Linked DNA regions of Lonchura striata. The protein of the gene in region 1 interacts with the protein of each later gene in a pairwise test. Links are inferred from orthologs where the notes say so. Each region holds a gene or a part of one and is shown on either strand. Other genes may lie near its edges.

The links. The genes of interacting proteins can lie anywhere in the genome.
Region 2: the proteins of UBE2K (region 1) and MID1 interact in binary tests that used the Homo sapiens proteins (3 or more experiments, as listed by UniProt). The link is inferred for Lonchura striata from reciprocal best matches to the Homo sapiens genes UBE2K and MID1.
Region 3: the proteins of UBE2K (region 1) and TRIM2 interact in binary tests that used the Homo sapiens proteins (3 or more experiments, as listed by UniProt). The link is inferred for Lonchura striata from reciprocal best matches to the Homo sapiens genes UBE2K and TRIM2.

The regions. Positions count from the first base shown.
Region 1 is NC_134606.1:22,965,877-22,972,861, forward strand, and holds the start of UBE2K (ubiquitin-conjugating enzyme E2 K), read left to right. Parts: upstream 1-3,984; 5' UTR 3,985-4,154; coding exon 4,155-4,217; intron 4,218-6,985. UniProt on the Homo sapiens protein: Accepts ubiquitin from the E1 complex and catalyzes its covalent attachment to other proteins. In vitro, in the presence or in the absence of BRCA1-BARD1 E3 ubiquitin-protein ligase complex, catalyzes the synthesis of 'Lys-48'-linked polyubiquitin chains.
Region 2 is NC_134604.1:97,753,016-97,760,132, reverse strand, and holds the start of MID1 (E3 ubiquitin-protein ligase Midline-1), read left to right. Parts: upstream 1-4,110; 5' UTR 4,111-4,421; intron 4,422-7,117. UniProt on the Homo sapiens protein: Has E3 ubiquitin ligase activity towards IGBP1, promoting its monoubiquitination, which results in deprotection of the catalytic subunit of protein phosphatase PP2A, and its subsequent degradation by polyubiquitination.
Region 3 is NC_134606.1:42,883,607-42,891,607, forward strand, and holds the start of TRIM2 (tripartite motif-containing protein 2), read right to left. Parts: upstream 3,008-8,001; 5' UTR 2,761-3,007; exon of another isoform or gene 2,668-2,760; intron 2,288-2,667; exon of another isoform or gene 1,974-2,287; intron 1,489-1,973; exon of another isoform or gene 1,430-1,488; intron 1-1,429. UniProt on the Homo sapiens protein: UBE2D1-dependent E3 ubiquitin-protein ligase that mediates the ubiquitination of NEFL and of phosphorylated BCL2L11. Plays a neuroprotective function. May play a role in neuronal rapid ischemic tolerance.

The sequences.
Region 1 (6,985 bases):
TGAGCTGAATGATATGCAGATAAAAAAGACAATTACTGTATTTCTCTGTTAAAAGCTGGGATCATAGAAAGAGAGCTGTAAGCATACCATCGACGGAAAGTGAAGGTTAAATTTAAAAATAGCCTAGTTATATGAATATTGTTTCCTTTTAAAAAAATAAAGCACCATTATAAATGAGCATACAAACATTTAAATGCAAAGTGCATATAAACTAGTAGTAACACAGCTTGTAAAGTTAATCCTTATATGGATATCTCGTGAAATAAATAAAATAAGACTTTAAAATGCTACAGGTTCAACCTGTTTCTAAAGGGATTGAAATCAATATACCTATCTCTTGAGACAGCTTTCCTCTCCCAATAAGTAATCCTCCAGCAACAAAGAGAGAAGATCAAGCCTGACATTTTTGATTTTTCTAAACTAAAGGAGCCAAGATGAAGATGTGGTAGTTTTGTTATGCAAGACATAAAACAGTAAAAGAGAAATAGAATGCTGCATACTGCAAAATTAATGTTTCAAAAATTTAATTTTCCTCTAATCATAGGGGACTATCTCAGTAATTCCAAATTTTCTCTGAGTAGTTCCTATTGATATGAAAAAATATCCTATTGATATGCAAAAATAAAATTAGGAAAATATGGAAATGAAAAAAGATCACCATGAATCTTAACTTGAAGAACAGAAAGCACTTAGTGCTGTCACAAGCATCTTGGAGTCCCCAGGCAGTACACTGGTGCTGGGGGCATCCATAGTCTGGGAGAGCAGAACCATGCACACAGGGCTATATTGGATGTACAGCGAGTCCATTGTGCACAAACTTTGCATGAGCCATAGCCACTTTTCCATGAAAATGTGGGGAACTGTACATATATATACATTACATATATACATATATAACTTGTACATATATACAGGTTGCACGATAGACAGTACTTCCCACATTACATGGGAAATGCCTCAGTGTTTAGGATGTTTGGTTATCTTAGCATTGGCTAATGAATATTGTTAGCCTTTCCATATTGAGAGCTTGGGCTGAGGCCTTACAACCACTGACCCTACCAACTTTCCTCCTGCAATAACCTTACATAGTTTGAACTTCAACTATACCTCCTTCTCCCACTTACAGAAGTCTTTCAAAACAATATGCCAATCATGATAAACAATGCATATATACTCAGAATTGTATCTCCCACTCTACTAGTTGTGTTCAACACCAACGGGCAAAAGCATAAACCAATGTGCAGCCAGTTTGTAAAAGCTGCTATTGAAAGAGTTGTTCAGTATGAGACTAAAATGATGATAGGATCAATGAAAGAACTATCTCTTGAAATCATATATACTACAAACATTTTTAATTCAAAAAATGAGCTATGTTCAATGGACTACAGTTGTACATATAGTGTATGGATTTTTCCAAGGGCAAAAGACTAATGAGAACTTAATTCAGGGCTATGTTATCAACACACAAATATATACAAATATATTTCAGGGACTTCCATGTCTGACTCCCTAAATGGAAATATATTAGGGAGTCAGACATGGAAGTCCCTGAAATCACACAAAGAGGCCACATTCTAAATTTTTGTCTAAACATTATCTTTTTAAACAAATCAAAAATAAAACAACAAACAAGCCCAACTTCCCCCAAAAAACTAAACCAAAGCCCAAAACACCTATTCAAAGTCTATGGTCCTGTTCTACACTAAAACCCTGTAGAATCTTCTGTAAAATAGTAAATTATAATAAAGTATAAAACAGTATAGGAGACATAAAATGATACTCCCAGCAAGTTAATTATGTAAGGTACTGATTTTTATGTAGATTTTGATCCTGGCAAGACTCACTACTACTCTGTTTTACCAGACAAAAAACCCTTTCTATATCTGTCTTTCAGCAAAGAGAAAATTAACACAGTATTATGGTGAATATGAAACAGTTTTGAGATAAGTGAAAAATGCCTGCTTAAGGACAAGGGAAAGGAATAGGGTATACCAAAGAAAAGAGATACAGTAATTCATATTAATTTATTTTTTGCAGTAACAGACTCTGACATTTGTAATCCAAATGAGCACATGAAAATGAACCTAGGTACAAACCAGACAAAATCATTGCCCTTTACCATGGCTGTTACTGGATGTTCACTACCTATAACATAAAAGCATACTCACAGGAACACAAAAGATTTTGACACTTAATAAAGGTCATGCTTTCTACTCCATTCAGAGCAAAATCTGAATATTGGAAGCTTAGCTTCTTTCTGTGAGTTGTCTGAAAAGACATGAAGGATTTAACCAGGAGTTTTTATGTACTACCTTTATTATTTTTGGCTATAGTAGTCGTAGTTGCTCAGCACACTACAAACCTAACTTTCATCTAAGAGGCAAAAAAGACTTATCATCCTTTCTTTATTGGTGACAGTCAAGGGCACAGAAAAGCCATGGCCTACCTCCTCAGAAGGAATTTAAGACATATCAGTGGAACTCAGATGTCTAAATTATTCTGTAAATGAAGGACCAAAATCACACTACTAAGTCATTAAAAAGAAACCAGGCCTAATGCAAAATGGTCCTTTTCATAAAGGTATTGAAAACCTCAGCTGAAAAATTTGATTGTATAATACATTTTAAAGTTTTCATCTGAAAAAAAAATTGATGAACAGATGCAAATGGTACAACGTTTTCGCAGAAAAATGAATTTTTTGAGTCAAACTAGATGGGAAGAGTAAACACATTAAAAGGACTATATCCATCTGTATATAGTTGACAGATTTTAATTTTTTTTTTTTTTTTTTTTTTTTGTTGCTTGTATTTTCTTTATAGTGTATATAATAGTCAAAATGCTGTGTATACTAATGGAGGAATGAACAGCATTTGCAGATAACGCCCCTACCAGAAGTCAACATTTGTTGAGATGAATGTCTGTGTTGTATGTTGTCCTGCACTGCACTGTTAAAAGGGGGCCCGATAAAATGTTCCTGTAAACCTTAATGTCTTGAAAGCCTCTAGTTCCCGAATAAACAACAGTCAAAATCTAATCTAATGTTCTCTGAAAATCTATGCTCTTCGATAACATGCCTTATTTTCTATACCTCAGGTTAGAAGTTATGGTTACTGTTTCCCTAGTTCAGAATTCAGAACAGAAGCAGCATCTGTGGGTGCTCATGTTTGCTTCTGCAATAAAATGTTCATTAGACAGGACTGACCTTTGCTTTTTAATCTACTTTTAAAACACTGTAGCAGAATCTGTGAAAAGAAGCAGTTCCTTTCACTGTCCCCATTATGTAACCTGTTTCTGGGCCTGCAAGTTCTCCTGGTCCCGTGTGAGGAGGCACCAGTGTCTCCAGGGGGAGGGGGGAAGAGGACGAGGAGCAGGTCTGGGAGAGACGTGTAAGGAATAACATTTTTCTCTGCCGAGCATAATGGGGAAAAAAATAGTTGAGAACCGCTGTTACGGGCCCGGGTGAGCAGATTCTCAAGTTACGTGAGAGCCCTCTAGTTCTTTTTGCTCGGGGGCTTCACCAGCAGACATAGCAGCTGCTCCTTGAGCCAGCTGTTTCCTCAGCGACACCTCAGACGTTCCTCCCGCTGCCGCCGGCCCGGTCCAGCCCTCCCAGGCTGCTCCTTCCGCCGTTCGCGGCCCGGCGCCTCAGGGCTCGCCCGCTGCCGGTGCAGGGCCGGGCGGGAGCCATGACGACACAACGGTCCCAGCTGCGCCCCGGGGCCCGCCCGCGGCGGGGCTCTGCATGAGGGGTGCCGCCTCACGCTCTCGCCACGGGCCCGCCCGGCCCGCGACGGGGCGAGCGGCTCGGGCAGGCATCTCCCGGGACGGGCGGGTGGGCGGCCGGTGGGCGAACCCCTCCGCCTCCACAGGTGGGCAGCGCACCCTTCCTTCGTGGTCAGCGGGGAGGAGGCGGCCCAAAGCCCACCCGCCGCAGCCGCCCCACCGGCAGCCTCCAGCCACGGCCCCCCCAGCCCCCCCACCGCCCAGGTGCCGCTCCGGCCGCACTCCCGCGGCCCCTCCTGAGGAGCGGCGGCAGCCCTTTCGCGCATGCTCGGCGCGGGCGCCATTTTGGTAGGGCCGGGAGTTCTCCAGCGGAGCGGCGGTGGAGCTCGCTGGGCCCGGCGCGGAGGGGGCGAGGGGTGCCCGCTGCGGAGATGGCCAACATCGCGGTGCAGAGGATCAAGCGGGAGTTCAAGGAGGTGCTGAAGAGCGAAGAGGTCAGAGCCTCTCCCCCCTCCCCCTGCGCGCCGCCGCCACCACCACCACCACCCTCCCCCGTGTGAGCGTGGGCAGCAGTGGACGGTGCAGGCGCCCCGCCGGCCTTCGCGGGGACCCCGCACCCCCCTCGGCCCCACCTCCCCGTGCCGGAGGTGGGCCCGTCCCACGGCATCTGGGAGGGGAATGGCGATTCCTGGGGAGACGGGGGCCGCCAGCCGCTGTGAGGAGGAGGAGGGGGCCGCAGGAAGCGCGGCGGCAGGGCCCGAAGAGGCTGGGCGGGCCGGCACCCGGCGAGGGCTGCCGGCGGTCGGTGCTCGGGAGCGCCGCCAGGCCGGAGGCCACGGGGCGGTGCGGGTGGGGCCGGCCCGGCCCCGCGGGGACCCCCGGGGACCCCCGGCACGCGCCCTCCCGCGTCCGGCCGCGCGGCTCCGGGAGGGATGCGTGAAGCGGACTGCGGAGGGCGAGGTGGGGTGCGTGATCCCACACATCCCCTTCGGCTGACCCCTTTGGCTCGCCAGTGCCAGAGGCTGCAGGGTACGGGTTTAATGTTTGGGGTTTTTTAGCGGTTGCTATTAAACCCCCATTTAGCTTCCCTGTATACAGAACTTCCTTTATCCCACTGCAGGCTTACTCACCTTTAGATGGATGCTTTTAAAGCCTCACTCATTTCAGTCATGTTACCTCGTTTCCTGATCAGTATGTTCAGAGGTATGTGGTAGTCAGTAAGAGAGGCTGACTACTTTCAGGGCAGCAGTAAAGAAGTTCTGATCAGTTTGGGTGAATATATAGCAGTATTTGCAGGGTTGCATCAATACAGCTTTTGCTGTGTCTGTGTCTGAGTTGGTGGACGTCAGCCAGATAGGTTTTAATAGTTGTGTCGTCATTGTCGTCCTACTTGGGATGATGTTGCAGGTTAGATCTTTGTGAAATATTAATGTGAATATGTAAATCTTAAAGGTGGTGTTCCAGAAATCTGGACGTATTCACAGAGAAAAAATTGAGAGAATAGTTTTTGAAAGGTGTTAATGGCTTAAGGAAAGCACGTTTAGGGTAGCAGTAGTTAATGTACTTTTAAATTGTGTGCTAACAACATTGTTGCTATACATCTTGAGCTAGCCCCTAGAAAAATGTAAGGGCCTTGTTTTACAGCTGCCTTTAGAGCCCAGGCTGATTTTGCCAAGCCATTGCACAGCAAATACAGAACTGCATGGAGACCAAGAGAAATTTCTAGGTGGATACCTTTATACCAATGTTAGAGAATGTAGACCTCATACCCCGTATAACCAGCTGATACTGTGGAAACAAAAAAAGTCTATTTGGAAATTTGGAAATGCTTTCTAAATGCTTCAAAACCATTTCCCTTTGCTTTATGTAGAAAACAAAAAAAGAAAAAAAAAACCTTAATTTAAGTAGGTTTTAGGGGAGGTGAATGGTAAATTTTCTTACTGTAAAGGTTGGATCCAGTGTGCACATTTTTGTTTATTTCTGTTTGTTTAGTCTGCAGGATTTCAGTACAGAATTTTGGAAATGGATATTATTATAAGATAGCCTTTGAGCTGCCTGAAGCTAGCCAGAAAAAGGTCATAATTCTTATAAAATTCAATTAATGGAATTTCAAAATCATAGTACAGCAGACTCTTGACATTTATTTTTCTTCTGCCATTGGCAAACTACATAAGTGTCATGATATATTAGTATGTATAAAATTGCTGTTTACAGACAATACTAACTCCCATGTCTTTAATGCAAAATTTCAGCATTACTCAGTGGTTATCAAAGTTGCAGGCAAAGTTTTTTTTTGTGAATGTTTATACATTCCAGGGCAGTCAAACTATGATGTCCTTATCATTGGGTGTGAAAACATGTGGAGTGGGATGATGAAAAAAGATCCAACTAAATACTACAAATGACAAACAAACAAAAAAAAGTTTTCTTACTAAAATTATTATTAAACCTGGTTTCTTCAAAAAGAAATATTTTTAATGAATGGCAATGCTAAGTTTGTTTTTTGGAGGTTAATAAGTCCCTCTCTGAAAGCAAAGTGGCTCACATTATCTGTTCTTAAATTATTCCTTATTTAATGCTTCGAACTACTTGAAGGGCACCCCCCCACACACACACCCCACCTTTTCCTTGTAGATATAACAGGAGCATAAATGCCTTGGAAGGGGGTAGGCACACAGGGAGAAAAGCACATAGGAAGTTTGTTCTCTGTCTTTTTCCACTACTCACTTTTATGCTGAAATGGATGATGGAACTAGAAATGTTTTTAAAAGGGAGCAGCTGGATCAGTTAATTCCTTCTGCATTTGAAGTACGTGTTGGACGTGCTAAATCCAAATGAAGAAAGAATTCTGTAAAGTGTGTTTATCCTTGCTATGGATAAGGATCTATGAATCCTTGCTACACAGGACTAAATATACTTTTCATATTACTTAGTACTTCCTTTTTCCTTGAATGTAATTTCTGGGAAATAACTAAAATATGAAATATGCTCTCTGGTTTACAGGAAAGAGATGAAGGATCTTCCATAGTTCTAAGTTGAATCTGGGACTTATAGTGTTTTTCAAAAGTATTTAAAGTCTTTTCACTCTTGAGGAAGAGAAAAGTGCTTTTGTACTGCTTGCTGTATTATTTGTAGTCTTGTTATATACATGACATTACGTTAAGAAGTATGGTATTGTTTATTTAAGAGATATCTGTAACTTTACATCTCTTAAATAGTTGAATTAAATAGATAAAACTAACTAAAGTTAGTTTTAGGGGTT
Region 2 (7,117 bases), on another chromosome or scaffold:
TGCACTTTGAAGTTCCAAGCTAGACATCCTCAGCTTCACACACACCCCTAATGTAAACCCAGCTGCACTGCTGAATCCTTGCTTTCATCTACTCTGGTACAAAAGTGAGAGACAGTTTAGGCTGAACCCATGGAGATCAAACCCCAGGGATATGCTATTAGATAAGCCTTAACCAAGTGAAACTTTGACTTCGGTAACATTCTTGCTCAAGTGACTCTAATCATCAGAGTTTTTAATTTCTTTCCCTTTTTACCCAATTATGGGTTTTTTACTGTGTTCTCTCATTGCTACTTCTTCCTTCCTTCTTGCCTAGTCATTCCTCTTCCAGTTTGCAGAGTTGGTATCCCACTGCTTTCTCAGAAGAAAAATCTGTCCAAGTAGATAAAGAATAGCCCTGAAATTCGACATATATGTGTTATATGTGCATCAATCATTAAACAACATTAATATTGAATAGTAAACTTTTAAAATTTACTGACTGTGTTAAGGAGCTCATTAAAAAGTGTACTCTTAGATCATCTACTGACTATGGAACTCATATTCCTCAATCAAATCCTTAAAAGTCAGTATCTTTAATATGTGCATTTTCTTCTGTTTATAAAGCTATGTCATCTCCAGATGATCCAGATGATCTTTAAGGTCCCTTCCAACTTGTTCTATGATTCCATTTTCTACACTTGCCTTTAAGAATTACTGTGAGTTTAGGGTAAAAAAAAAAAATCAAAGAGCTGCAGTAGATTGGACTAATCAGAGTGCAGTCACCAGTGAGTCTCAAAGAGCTTAGGAATCTTTAGTTTTGCTAGAATCTTTGCAGTGCAGTTGTCTGCACCACTCTGCTTGTAGGAAAGATTCTTTGAACTGTTCTTATGATTGCTATTAAAAGTGTATGGCTGTTATCCAAATGAAAGCCTTATCCAAGAGCCTTATGCTTTTTGTTAATCCTAGAAACATGGAAAGTAGTAAATATTGTGCAAAAAAAAAGTGCTTTGGACAGATTATACAGATAAGTGGACATGGTTGTGAGCAAGCAGAGAAAAACTTATGGAGCAGAGTGTGCAAACCTGCTGTGATTTCCTAAAACTCAGATGCCTTCAGATATTTATCATGACTCTGAAAGCTACAAGAATGAGAAAAATGAGCTCTTCCAAAATTTTGGTGCCTGTAGCTTTTGTCCCATTGTGAATTTCTTGTTCCTCTACGCCAGCTTCCAAGTACAAAGGTGGCTGCATTTTTCATGCTTCATTCTTCCTTTTGATCGGTAGAGCTCATCTCATTTGTGCATAGCACAGTTAACCACCTCCTGGATGGTGCAAACATTTTTATTTAGAGCTAATGTATTTATATCAATTGGTCTGTGAAGAGGCCTTATTGTTTCTAAAATGTTTAAGGTACTTCCTTCTTTACAATGGGAATGCTCTCAGATTGTTAGGGAGAAGCAAAGAAACAATGGTGGAAGTTTAGAAGCTGTAATTGGGACATAAATGGTTCACAAGTACATCTTTTAAAACCTCTTTTCAAAGGCTGAAATTCATACCACATGACTTTCACCATGCTAGTAGCCCCTAAGTCCCAGAATGGGGTCACCTAAACCAAGAGTGTAATTTTAAGCTGGTTCTTAGGAAAAAAAAAACAAACCCACAAAACAAACAAAAAAAAATCCCACACCCAAACAAACAACAAAAACAAACCAACAAACCAACCCCTAAAAATTTTACTTGAATTGATGAAACTCGATAATTGCTGATATTACATTGCATAAATCTGTCAGATTTTGACTTTTTTTTGGAATATCAATAAATTTCTGTCTTTTGTTTGATTATCTTTCAGTATCATAAGTTGAGTTCTACCTCACAGATAGTCTAATTCTATTCAAATAAAAATATTTGTAAATATGGAAACACTTAAATACTGTTCTTTTGAAACAAAGTGCATCTTTTTGAAAAGACCATACAATTTTTTGGAAGAATGAACAGGAGCTCATCTTTTTTGACAGATTGTGAATATCAAATCTCAAACTAGAAATAATAGAAACATAATTTGTGTTACAAATACATACCATATCAAGCTTAATCTCAAACATGGCCCTGGTTTCAGAAATTGTCTTCTGGAGCATGAAAATCACTGGCCAAGGGTGAACTATTCTGGACAGAGACTTTGTTGAGGCAAGTCATTTGGCCCCAGTATCCACCTGTAAAATCAGAGGTCTGATGCCCTCCAGTATTCATGATGAACCCATCAGATCAGATGAATAATCAGAAAGAAATACTGAAACATATTAACAACCTGTCCTCTGCTCTAAGGAAATCAGAGGCCAACTACAGGCATTAGGATGTTAATGAGATCAATGTGGAGGTGGAGCCTTGCATTTCAGAGTTCATACACCATCTTCCTTTTTCAACCTTTTTAATGGAAAGGTAATTTCTTCATGAAGAGTTCTGTGAAATCTGGGAGGATTTTTATGTGAAATATCTTGTAAAAGGATTTCTGAATTCATTTTAGCAGAGAATCTGCTTTCAAATACTGAATTTGCAGACACCAACTTTAAGATATATGAATCCTCTGATGCTTTATTATGTCTTTTAGGTAATAAATAAAAGACATCACATTGCAATTGTTTGCCTCAGATTACTGCAGTGAGACCTTTGTCCAGTAGAGAATTGTTCAAGATTCATGGTTCAATAATTGAATTAGCACAGTTAAGAAATAATTCACAAAAGTCACAGTCAAAGTGTTCTTTGTTTATAAATGAAACAAACAAAATTCTTTCTTTCCTTCTTTCTTTCCTTCTTTCTTTCCTTCTTTCTTTCCTTCTTTCTTTCCTTCTTTCTTTCCTTCTTTCTTTCCTTTGTTCTCTGGTGATGTTGTTATTTTCTTAAACTAAAATATGTTTGAGATAAACAATTTGGATTAATTCCTCCTCTTGAAGCCTTTTCCTTCTGCCCTAACACCCGAACTCCAAGAAAAGTGGAAACGGATTCCCTTAAATTCACATTTTTGAGGTAGGAAAATGTGTTCCAGGCATTTATTGCATGTTTGGTTCACTGTTAAAATGACTCTGTATGGTGGAAGATTCTCCTCCTGTCTCCTCCTTCAGCTAAGCAATAATGGGGGGACAGGACTGTGAAGTCACAACCCACATTGTGAAAAGAGATCGCATCCATCAAACTGTCACCTTGGTTTTCTCTCCAGGGTCACAGAGGAACAAAGTCAGCTTGTGTCAGGTTGAAATAGCATTGGTAAGTGTTAGTGTGTGTGAAGCTGGTGGCTTGAAGTCTATTTATTTTGTTTGAAAGGCTCAAACAGCATGCTGCCAAGCAGAAGAACAGGCAGGAGGAAGTCTCCTTATAAATTATTACTGGAAGGCTCGCAGCCAACATTTAAGATGTGAAATTATGCCATCTGCTTTTCTAGGTCTTTGATTTACTTTGTGGCAGCTGCCTGTTTCTGAGTACTTTGCATCTTGTGGAGCAGTAAAACTTGTGCTAAGAACTATTATGACAACTGTGTTTCTTTAACAAAGATTTAATACATTCTTGAAAAGCAGAGGCTATGCAGGGATGTTATCTCAATATCTGTCTCATGTTTTCAAGATAATTTGTACTAAAAAAATGTTGTCTCTTTTTACATAAACTGGAAATGAAGATAGAATCCTTCTCTTATTGTGAAAAATGCAATTGCTTGTTTTGATTGTAGCTATCAGAAGCATTTCAGGGAGGCACCAGTGTTTTTTTTAATTCGGTGCCTCATAATGCTATTGATTTTGTGTCTGTTGGGATCTCTTTTTTTATAATTTTGGTATTGATTTTCTGGGGCAACATCTTGGTTGGGTTTTTACCCTGTTTGAAATATTTAAGATTTATTTGCGTGTTCTTTGTGAAAAAGAAATATCTAAGGCCCAACAAGAGCATTAGGAAGTCACGTGGCTAATTTTAAAATAAGAAAAAAAGCCTAATTATTTCAGTGCAGGCTAACTGAGATGCATGCCGGGGACTCTGGCGAGCACCCAGGGGTGTTCTCATTTGAGAAGAGAGTGGCTGGGAGGGCGATGGCTGGAGAGGGGCACTTTTCCGTGCCCGGGGCGCTGCGCCCCAGCGCCTGGCGCGCTGTGGCTGCGCTCCCCGGGGATGCGGCGGGGCCGGGGCTGAGCGCCGGCAGCATCCCGCTTCCCCCACCCCCGGAGCATCGCTCCTGCTGGAGGCGTTCGGTGCGGCTGCCTTTTCCTGTGCGAGGATTAGGGACTGGGAGAATGGCTTTGTGAGGAAGCTCGGAGAGTGGGAGCTGAAGAGAGGCTGAACAGAGGGGCCGAAAGACTTTAGCCTTTCATAGTTCTTTCAGTCAGTTCATTCTCAGAGACCAATTGCATGCGATACGGCAGCTGGGGGTTTTGTTTTCCTTTCAGCTGTGTACTGTAGGAGAAGCTGGTAAGGTTATTTTTTTTTTTTTTTCCTTGTTCTACTGTTCCGTGGTGCTATTGTAATTGCTTTATCGAAGCGAGTGTCTGGTGAGGAAGGGAAGTTGGTTAATGATGCTGAGGGTCCCTGCATTGTCTCTGCTTTGTGCAGCTGCAGTTTGGGGAGAGGCACTGTTTACAGTGCTGGGGCTGCTTTCTGCTGAACAACTTTGCTGTTGTTTTTCCAAAGTTGTTTGAGCCTTTCTTTTGGCAAAGTTAGGAAAATAAGCAAATAAACAGACTTGGCTCTTTGGAAATGGGTAAATTTTTAGAAGCTGCAATTTGTTGAAAAATCTGTTCTGCCTAATTCTTAGTTTCAGATGTTCTTGCTTTGATGTTATCAGATCTGTTACTTTGCTGAATCAACTCCAAAACTGGGTTTTATGTGAGAGCCTTTCTTCACAAATCTTTTCATGTTTTCAGCAGGGCCAAGATAAATTGATAGCCAAAGAAAACAAAACAAAAATGTATCTGTGGAAGGTGAGAATACTTGAGGAAAGAATAAATTCTAGGGGAATTCAGGAATTTAAAAAAATAAATGAAGAAGCCTTAATTCTTGGCAGTAATTTTTAGCAAAATATCAGTGTAATGGGAAGCATGTGCTTAGGCATAGACTAGAAATACTCTTTCAGAAGATCCAAGATGTACAGGTGCATATCCTGTCTAACTGCACCCTTCCAAAGGAAAAGTTAATATATTTATCAACTTAAAGGAAAAAAAAAAAAAAAGTTAAACCAGAAGATCCTGGCTATCCTGTTCCTTTTGTTATTTCTAGAATAGTAACTTGTGTTGCTCAGAATCTTTTATTTCCTTTCATATTATCGTGGGAAAGTTTAGCTTGAATTGGTCGGACATACGTGAGCGCAGCTTGGGGTACACCATGCCTATTCCACAGGCAGGCTCTGAAAATCCTGCCTCTGACTCAAATGAATTGTAAAGACCAAAATTGCCAACAAAAGTTTCTTTTGTGGCCATTCAAAAATCACAAACAAGGTAAGAGGGAATGATTGACAACAGTTACGTTACTGATTGACAGAAAACCAAAAACTTGGTCTGTGACTTACTATGTTAGTTTTTCAGGAAGTGTTGACCTTTTTCACTATTATTCTGTTCTTTCTGATGGACTATTCCCAACTCCTCTATTGAGGCTAGAATGTCTATCTAAAATGTGTCTTTGTAATTACTGCCTATAGTCTGTATGTCTCTTTACAATGATATGCTTATTTGTTGATACCGAAACAAAATTGAGAAATGCATTGCAATCAGACCTCCATGAAAGAATGTGTATCTTTTATATGCCTCACATGCTTAGCTATTGATTTCAGCTACAGATTTCACTCCTATGAAGTAATGAAGTGCCCCATCCAAATCCTGCAGATTTATACTCAGTTCTAGCTGCTAATAATGGAAGGCCTAAGGATATCAATGTGGTTACTCATGTGAGTAAAGATTTGGAGACTCATTTCCCATTCATGAATGAAATGGTTTGGGAAACGCACAGTTACTATGGTTCTCTTTTGGCTTAAAAACAAAAATCTCCACAAAAACAACCACTAATGAGATCTGCTAGAGGGACCCAAGGATAGAAAAATTCAGTGCTTTAACATAAGAATGTAGTATTAATATGAGAATGTGACAGTAGTGTTTTAGGGGTTGTAATAAAATTTTCCCTCTCTCTAGCTTATTAACAGCTTTAGAAGGAAGGGAAAGTTAATTAATCTCTTTGTGTTGCACCACTAGATATGGCCATGACTTTTGAAATACCACCACAACTATGAGATACTCCTTACATTAAAAATAAAATTTAATTTAGGGTGGTCTTCATCATGTACTTGTACCTATTCTTGTGATAAGTGTCAGTCCTAGCAAGTGACAATAAACTGGTATTTCTGGTTAGGCTTCTCCTGGTTGTTTGTAGGCAAAGGTACAATATCTCCAGGGTACAAGGTTTATTTCACATCCTTGGTTTCACTGCAAGTGAACCAGAAGCAGGATGTCCTCTTTGTATATACCAGTTAAAGATCCTCAGTTCTCTAAAAGAGAAATTACTCTGGTTAAGTGTTTCTGAACTGTTCAACAGCATCCTTTAGTTTACAGAGATGAAAGAGATGTATTTGCTGCTACTTCTTTCCTAGTTTTTATGAATTCTAAATTTCCAAACTGTATTTTGGAGAAAAAACAGGCATCTAACTTAACAGAACTCACACCTGATTTTATAGCTCTGCATGGTAAAGGAACTATACTAAAATTATTTTGCCAAACAGTCCCAAAATTACCTGTCTGAAAGAGAGAATTTTCTATCCCATCAATTTTTAAAAGCAGAGATACATGGACTTTTATATGGCCATTATTGTTGGAAAAGGGCCTTGATCACCACCAACATCACATGCATAAAGAAGTAAATCTTGGCTATAAATGTCTTTTATTAAGTTAAAGCAGAACAAAATTCCAAAGGTAGAGGGAAACGCATAAGCAAACGTAACATTCAGTTATAAAATTAGAGCAATCTAAATATGTTTCAGCAGTCATTAGCTATCTGCTGTTTGTTACAACTGAAAGGTCTGTGCAGATCAAAACAGTAATATTGCTTCTCAAAACACATAAAAAATTGTGGAGGTGGACCTGCCACAGTGGTGTTGTGCTGGAGTTTGGTGATTTTTTGGTGAG
Region 3 (8,001 bases), about 20 Mb from region 1:
CAGAGAAAGTTACAAAGCAACGATGCATATAATAGCAAATGAGATTTCAGCTCAGGGCTGCAGCACCAGAACTGCAGGGGATTGTTAAATATTCAGTGAACATATGCCTAAAAAGTCAGTGCACATGCTATCAGAATTTCAGCATCCTGTGCACATCAATGAACCTTGCTTAAGCTTCATCAGGATCATTTACATTCTGGATAAGAGATTTGGGAGGAAAACTGGTATATGATGTAAAGAGCAAAATTAAAGGCCAAAACCTTCTTTTGGGGATATCTATCAGGAAGATGTCTGAGCAGATTTTAAATAAAATACCTCTGAAATTTTTAATCTGTGTCTCAAATCTTCCAGAAGAACTTCTGAAATTATTCAGGACACATATCAATAATTTCTTTATATCTGAGAGACTTAGGCAGGGGCTTTCAATGTATAATCCAAAGAAGCAGTGGATTAACTGTCTTCAGCTGAAATCCTGCCAGATGAGTACCCTTCCCCACGTAACATGGCATTTGATGCCTGCCATTTTAATAGTTTGACATTTTTGTGAGCAACATTGTCCTGAAAGGTCACCACTTGTCTCAGCAGCTGGCTGGCTGCCACTGAGGCTTGGGAAGCTTAGCTCCACAGCTGTCATCAAATATGACCATTTTCACAGCTAAGTTTCAGGGAAGCTATGAATTTATGTCTATGGGGGAAAAAGGAGACATGAGGAAGGAAACTTCAAAATCAGCTTTTACTTGCTACAGTAAGGTATTTATACATATACATCTCTAAGATGAGGCCAAAGTATTTCAAAAGCAGCTTATAAACACAACATTCACCAAATACCTGTGTTACAGCATCATTAGGGGTTATACCATGAATATGTTTAGTCCTCTGTTGCAGCAAACTACACATATATTCTCTCCCTAGTCACTTAATGGCAGTCACCTGTTAACTGTGCAAGTGACATTTTCACATGGCTCATGAAAAGCTGACAGTACCACTGGTCCCCAAGAAATAACAAACCTGTAAATAAAGCAAGAAACACAACATAGCAATTGAAACAAACTGGCTACAGCCTGCATTTCTTGTGTAGTTATCTGACATTTATACTTGGTACTGATCACAAGCTGTTTTCGAGAAGCAGTTTTCATTCACAGCACAGTAAGAATTCATTAGCCATAAACTTGATAAGACAACAGCAATACAGAAGTTTTGAATTAGAAAGGAGAATAAAAACCAACATACTGTTTCTTCAGTGCTATGAGACCAAAAATACACTGACAAGTATCCATTTTTTTCCTTACAGTATCACCACAACACTGAGAAACCTTCAGCTCCACTGCTTCCCAATCACCTTACTATCCTGTCTTGATGCCACTGTAGCAGATAAAGATCATTTCATATACAGACAGAATGAGATGGGTGAAAAACATGCATTGCTCACCGTGCTATGTTCATGGTTCTTATCAGGTCAGATGCAGACTTACTGGTGCCCCTTATGATGACTATTTATTTGTGCTTCTGATAATAAGGTACTGTTGAGCTTCCTAAAGAGAAGTTCAGGTCTGCATTTATGGATTTTTTAAAAAAAGATTCCAGGTGAAAAATACCATAGAAAATTTTTCTTCTACGTGCTCACAAACCATCAATTACTACTGAAGTATCTTTCTTGCTGTATATCTAACCTAAGTAGAAAAACATCTCTCTATAAGTACCTCCCGCATTTGCTGGACTTCTCCCCTCACAGAAAAATGGCAAGCAGACATCCCCAAAATCAACAAACACAACTGCAAACTATTTGTTCTAGAAAGCTTTCAAGCATCCCTTTCCCTCAGCAGCTCTTCCACTGAAAGCCAGAACAATACTGCAGAGAAGCTTCCCCTGTCAGGATGTTTTCAGCTTTCATCTCTCTGCTTTTTCAAGCAGAAGACTAAGGTAGAAACCTTAATTAGCAATCTGAAAGCACCACACAGGCAAGGAATACTTACATTTGCAACTGTATTTGTGATATTTGCGCACTGATCCAGCGACTGGTGATTACAAAGAAGAGAATGAGCTTTTTAGACTGCCTTTCAAGTCTTGCAGCAGTGAATTGAAGGCTGCTATCTGAAAGCTACTCATTTTCTATATGCTGTGCTCTACTTGCTTCCCATGTGCATACAACACAGCTGCCAGATTTAATAACCATGTCAGCCTGCTTTCCCCAGAAAGCAGCAGAGAGATGACAGGATGAAGTAGCCAGAGCGTTAATCTGTAGTTATGGCTGCACTAAGCCTTGAATGAATGTCACAGTTTTATTGCCCTTGAAAAAAAAATAAAATAAATGAAGCTGTTTGTGAAAAAAATAAGTGCAAAAGGATTTCAGAAATGTTAATCCATACTTGCCTCAGTGATATTAAAGTACATTAAAGACATTTCACCTTTCTTTTTTTTTTTTTTTTAATCAGTTAATAAATCCTAGGACTTGAGGCTTTTAAATTCCTTTAAGAATACATTTTTCCTAGCAGTGTATGCTTGTACCCCAAAAGAACAAAACAATTAACTGACAAATTAGTTGAGCTTCCCTTCTCTCCTGTTTCTCTCTGGAAGGAAGCATTTCCATACCTGTCTTTGCTGAATTCTTTCAATCAAAAAAAAAAAAAAAAAAAAAGTTCATAAAAAAGAGGGGAAATTCTCTTTTACCATTTAAATTCTCCCACGCACAGCGGTTCCTAGAGCAGTGGATTTTAGGATCTGCTGTGGTCAGTTCACTGCCAAGGTGGAGCATCGCCGTACCTCCAGCTGTAAAACCAGTTCCACTCGAGGGAAGGGCAGCCAGACTTTACATGACAAGAGAAGGTGCCACACATGCAGTCAAAAACAACAAACTGCAAACAAACCCAGAAACGCTCGGTTGAATCTGCAACAGTTCAGGGATGCCGCAGAGGTCATATGACATCTGTGCGCGTCTCTCTCTCTCTCTCATTTATATTCCTTTCACTTCCCTTGGAGGCACCTTCTCAGCAGGGAGTGGTTTCTGTGGAAACTACGGACAGTCGGTTTTCCCCTCGGAGAAACTGTTACTATGGTAACCTTACATAATGTATATGGCCTAGATTCTTTTTAAAAATAATCTAACCCTGAAATTCTCATTATAAAATTAGAGCTGTTTTGTCTGGGGGGCAGGAAATATAGTTATTTAAAAATTGTATTAGAAATGTAGGATTAAAAAAAATCCAAATGGTGTTACAAATTAAATGAGAGTATAGGGGGCACGTCATTGCATCAGTCACAAAGACAAAATAATTTGCAAATGCCAGTAAACAAGGTCTATTATTTAGCACTTGTGGGAAGCAAGGAGGAAGGGAAGTATATACTTGACATCATGGCTCAGTGCAGCAATCAATATTGCATCTTGCAGAGTTGAAATTTTCTCTCTCTGTTTATTCTTCCAGCAACCAGGACCTCATGATGTAAGCCCAAATACTGCTTACATCTACCCCACTCAAAACTGAAAGATCGACTTCTAAGTCACTTACCCTACACTATGAAATCATGCTACGTCAAAACTCAAGGAAGTGCCTGAAAGGAGCTGTGTGAGTCAGTGAGGCGTAGCGTGCAATAGAGCAGAAATAGAGAAGGCACACTGCTGTTTATATGACTTTCAGCTCAGAGACACACAGCCTGGTGGGGAGGGCAGGGCAGGTCTGTCAGATAACATCAGGGACAGGGATGTTAGGGCCCCAGCAATGGGGCTGGGCAGGGTCAGTTTTCTAAGTCAGCAACTGAAAACCTGCCTGGCTGGGAATGACATGAAGTGGTAGTCACATCACAGATGCTTTGTGACCCCAGGTAGGGGGTCAAAACATCACAGATGTTTTGTGAAACAGATTAGGTAGATATCTCCCATCTTTCCTCTATCTGCAGCCACCCTTGGAGATAACCCTTATCCTGGTTATACAAATCAAAAGTCAAATGGTTAAGAAGGCAAAACTACCTGTTTAACTCAAGACAAAATTGGTGATTTCAGTTTGAACAATACTGTTGGGGAAACTTTGCTCGAATCCTACCTCAGAGATATCTGTATTGTGACTCAGTGGATTGATATCTCTCCTGACCTGTCAACCCAGCAACTGTTATTAGCATGAACCACATTAATATACATGGAAGTCTGATTTTTCTTCTCTCCTCCTATTCAGAAGATGAACAAGAGAGAGCATCTGGCCTACAGAACATTTCCCCAAAACTTAAGCAAGATTCTCCAACATTCTGCAGTGCAAAGGGGTCTCTCCAGGTGTGACAAAGCAGGCATGAAGCATTGCTTCAAAGCCCACAGCATCTACCTTTCTTATGTGGTGGACATACTTTTACAAAAGAGACTCATACTGCCTGAAGGTGAAGTGTTGTTTGGGATGTGGCTTCTTGAAACAGGTGTTCAAGACCAGGGTTTCACAAAAAACTTGCTGGTGCCACAAGTAATTGGACATATCGTAATATAAAATCCTTCAAAGAAGTTTCACTGCAATGGGCAAAAGTCCCTGGACTTTTAAATTAAAGAAGAAAACTGCTCCATAAACTGCATTGAACACCCAAACTGTCCTATAGAGGAGATTTACTCTGACAATCACAGAGCAGTATTTTACCAGAGGCTGTGCACACAAACACACATTTTTGTCTGTGAAACTTAAGGGTTGTACAAAGATATGAAAGTCTTAAACATTCTCTCTCCTTTACACAGAAAAATGAAGATTTGATGCATTGTGTTTTCTTCAAATGGGTTTGAGGAAGTTCAGCATCAGCAGGATACAAAACTTACATGACTGAAAATTTTAGGATTTATCAAGTATCACATTCCTAGACAAGCATTACACAGGAGTCAGGCCTCTCTGACATTTGACTTTTAAACCTCAGGGCTCTCATGTTCTACCCACAGGACATATAACCACAAAGCATTATAATCAATCTTTTCCTTTCTAAAATTACAAAAAATGGAATATATTTTAAACAAAACATCTACATCCATTTCTGAATTAATCTTATATACAAAATTAAAGAATAATTAGACAATGTCTAGTGAAACATATATTTAGTGGCTTTAGGAAAGTCAATATATTCAAAAAGAAAAGCAATAAAATGAAAAGATTCCTTAAGCCGATTAGAAAGAGCTGAGCTGTCACTTAAACTCATGTAGTTCTGATACTTTGCTAAGTAAAACATTGAACTTCAAAGAGTACATTGCACAAAGACAGCAACAGATACAAATTGAGAATGAGGTAAAGCAAGGTAAAGCAATGAATCTAACAGCTTTTTTTTTAAAAAGCAGGAAACAACTGACATAGAATGAGAAGGCTCAACTACTTTTCATAGCTGTGCCTACTCTTCCAACACAGAAAAGCACAGCACAGTGAAAGCCAACATGGTTACATGACTTCTGGTCTGAGCTAAGTAACATCTACCCAGCTCATTGTGGAAGCAGCATGAACTTGGAATCCTCTCCTTTATCTACATAGTCTGTGAGTATCCAACCCATGGACACTTGTGGCTTCCTCAGGCTAAGCAAGGACACACAGCTCAGGAGTGGACATTTCACTAGTGCCAGTGTGCTTCCAGTAAGTTAATTTGCAGCACTTACACTTCTTAGCTCAAACTCCAATCGTGCTGTAAGGGACCTGGCTGAGATACAGCTGAGAAGGCAGTTAGACTAACAAAAGAAAGATCTGCATTCATAGCAGGACTCAGGCACAAAAAGATGCAGCTGTAACCTGTGAACTTGCTGTTGGTTTCCTTCCAGCAGGGAGTTAGCTCACTCTAGGAGTTCAAGCTTCTCTTGACAGCCCAAGATCTGCAAAAATGGCCTCTCAGCAAACAGATTCAGAAAAAAATATAATTGAGTTGTTATGATCTGCACATTGTTTGGCACACCTCATGGAACATGGTAGCAACTCTACAGTCTACCATACAGCTGAGAAAGGCAGATTTTCAGTGGTTATTTAAAAGGTCTTTCGCCCATTCCATCAGTATTTATTATGTTTTCCACATCTTTTCCCATGCCATTACATCACAACACAATATTATATATAACTTTGGTCAGAGATAGAAGTGTCAATAGAAACCCTTTGTACAATATTACATCACTTATTCCAAAGGAAATCTGTTGCTGCACTGCCTCAGTTAACTCCATACCAGGCTTTTACATAGACAGGTTACTTATATTTCTAGGGCATTGACTGCTCATCAGATTTGCATTGCTTTTGATACTACAGTCTCTTCTCTCTCATGGTCCTATTATAGTGAAAAAGTCCTATTCCCCATCTAATTAAATTAACATGCTTTGGATGAAGAAAATAAATCTTAGCAGTAAATAAAGGAAGAGACAGATTCACAAAGAGGCACAGGCAGGGGTGTCAGCTCCTAACCACAAGGTGCCTTGCAGTCTGCAGTTCCTCCTGCCAAGATTTCTGTGCTTAAGCAATCCACAGGAATGACACCCACAAAAGCCAGCACGTTAGCACAGAGCTGTCTAACTTAGCTACTGTGAATGGTGAGATATTAAATTCTCTCCATGAACTTGGTATCCTCATCTGGACTGCAGGAAAATGCCCATCTCCAACTGGAATTCATACATACGCATTCTCTTAAGTTCCCTTTCTTAAAAAAGCTGACTGGGGAAGAGATGAGAGCCAATTACCATATGCAGAAAAATTACAGATTTGGGCTCAAATCTCTTAGCAGCCAGATAAAAGCATAACCAACATTCCCTTATTTAATTGTATCTTTTTAGATTATTGTAACTTCGGAATCCTCCTGAAGCTGCTGCCTTGCTGTTAGCAAATAGCAAAGGGAATGCGGGAGAGAACAAAGCCCACTATGTAGCCCGTAGTCAGGCTGCTGTTTAAGGCACTAACCTTGAAAGTCCAGTCTCTGCCTCGTAATTGGCTGCTCATTAGGCACAGAATCAGGTTTCTGTGCCCCCGACGGCAGGAGCTGTTTTGCTGGGCTTCAGCAGGTGCTTTCTGAGCTCTGCACACTATGCTTCAGAGAGGACAGGCACAGTGTCTTCTGTGCTCAAGTATGATGGAGATGCCCAGCTGCTCAGCCCTTGCTGCTGCTTAGCATCTCCAGACACCTGGGTTACAAGGCAGCTTTTGAAGGCTGACATTCCTGCCTGAAGTATTTAAGGTAGCCATTAGGTATTAAAGGCCATGTCTACAAATGTGGGTGCAGGGCCACCTGAGCTGGCAGGGATCTGCATAGTGACTCATAAAACAGAAATGCCAGGGAGTTCAGTGCACAATCACACAATCTGGCTCTGTGCATGGCCACTAACAAGCCTTTGTGCTGTGCACAAGCCTTCACTCCGTTGTAACTCTTCCAGATTGAGGGTTCCTGAACTCTAGTCTACCCCAGAGAGTAGGCAGGCCCTGCATCTGGCCTCAGTCCCTGCATGGATCTTGCCTGAGTTCAGCCAAGGAATAGTCATTATGGGGATTAAAACTAAACTGTTTTCATCTAGCCTAAAACACACAGGAAACAGATCAAAGGTGGATTTCTGCCTGGGTTTCTCATGGATTTCAATTTTAGTTAACACTTACAACTGCAGGCCTGCCTATTTCTTTGTTTTAGAAGTACAAATCATTGCCAAGGCTCTGGCAGCCAGGCCAAAAAAATAGTGACAAATAGCGTAAGCTGATCTGGCAAGCTTCATTAAGGGCAGATTAAACATTGACAGTCCCCAAGGTTTTTGTGATATGATTGCATGACATGGCCAATGAACTAGTCATTCCCTAGGGTGAGAAGCAGAGATGATGTTCAACTGCCTGGAGAGTGGAACATAAGCTACTCTGTGAAATTACATGGTACAACAGTGTAAGATACAAAGCACCATCTCTGAACAAGGTGCTTAACCTCAAGTAAACCTTGTGACTAGCTAAATAAAAGCCTGTCTACTGCAAAGATGGCTAAGCAGTGTAGAAAAAGAATCAACAGACCTGCAAAAGGCCAACATAGTAATTTAACAGTCTATCCCAGTCAGGATAT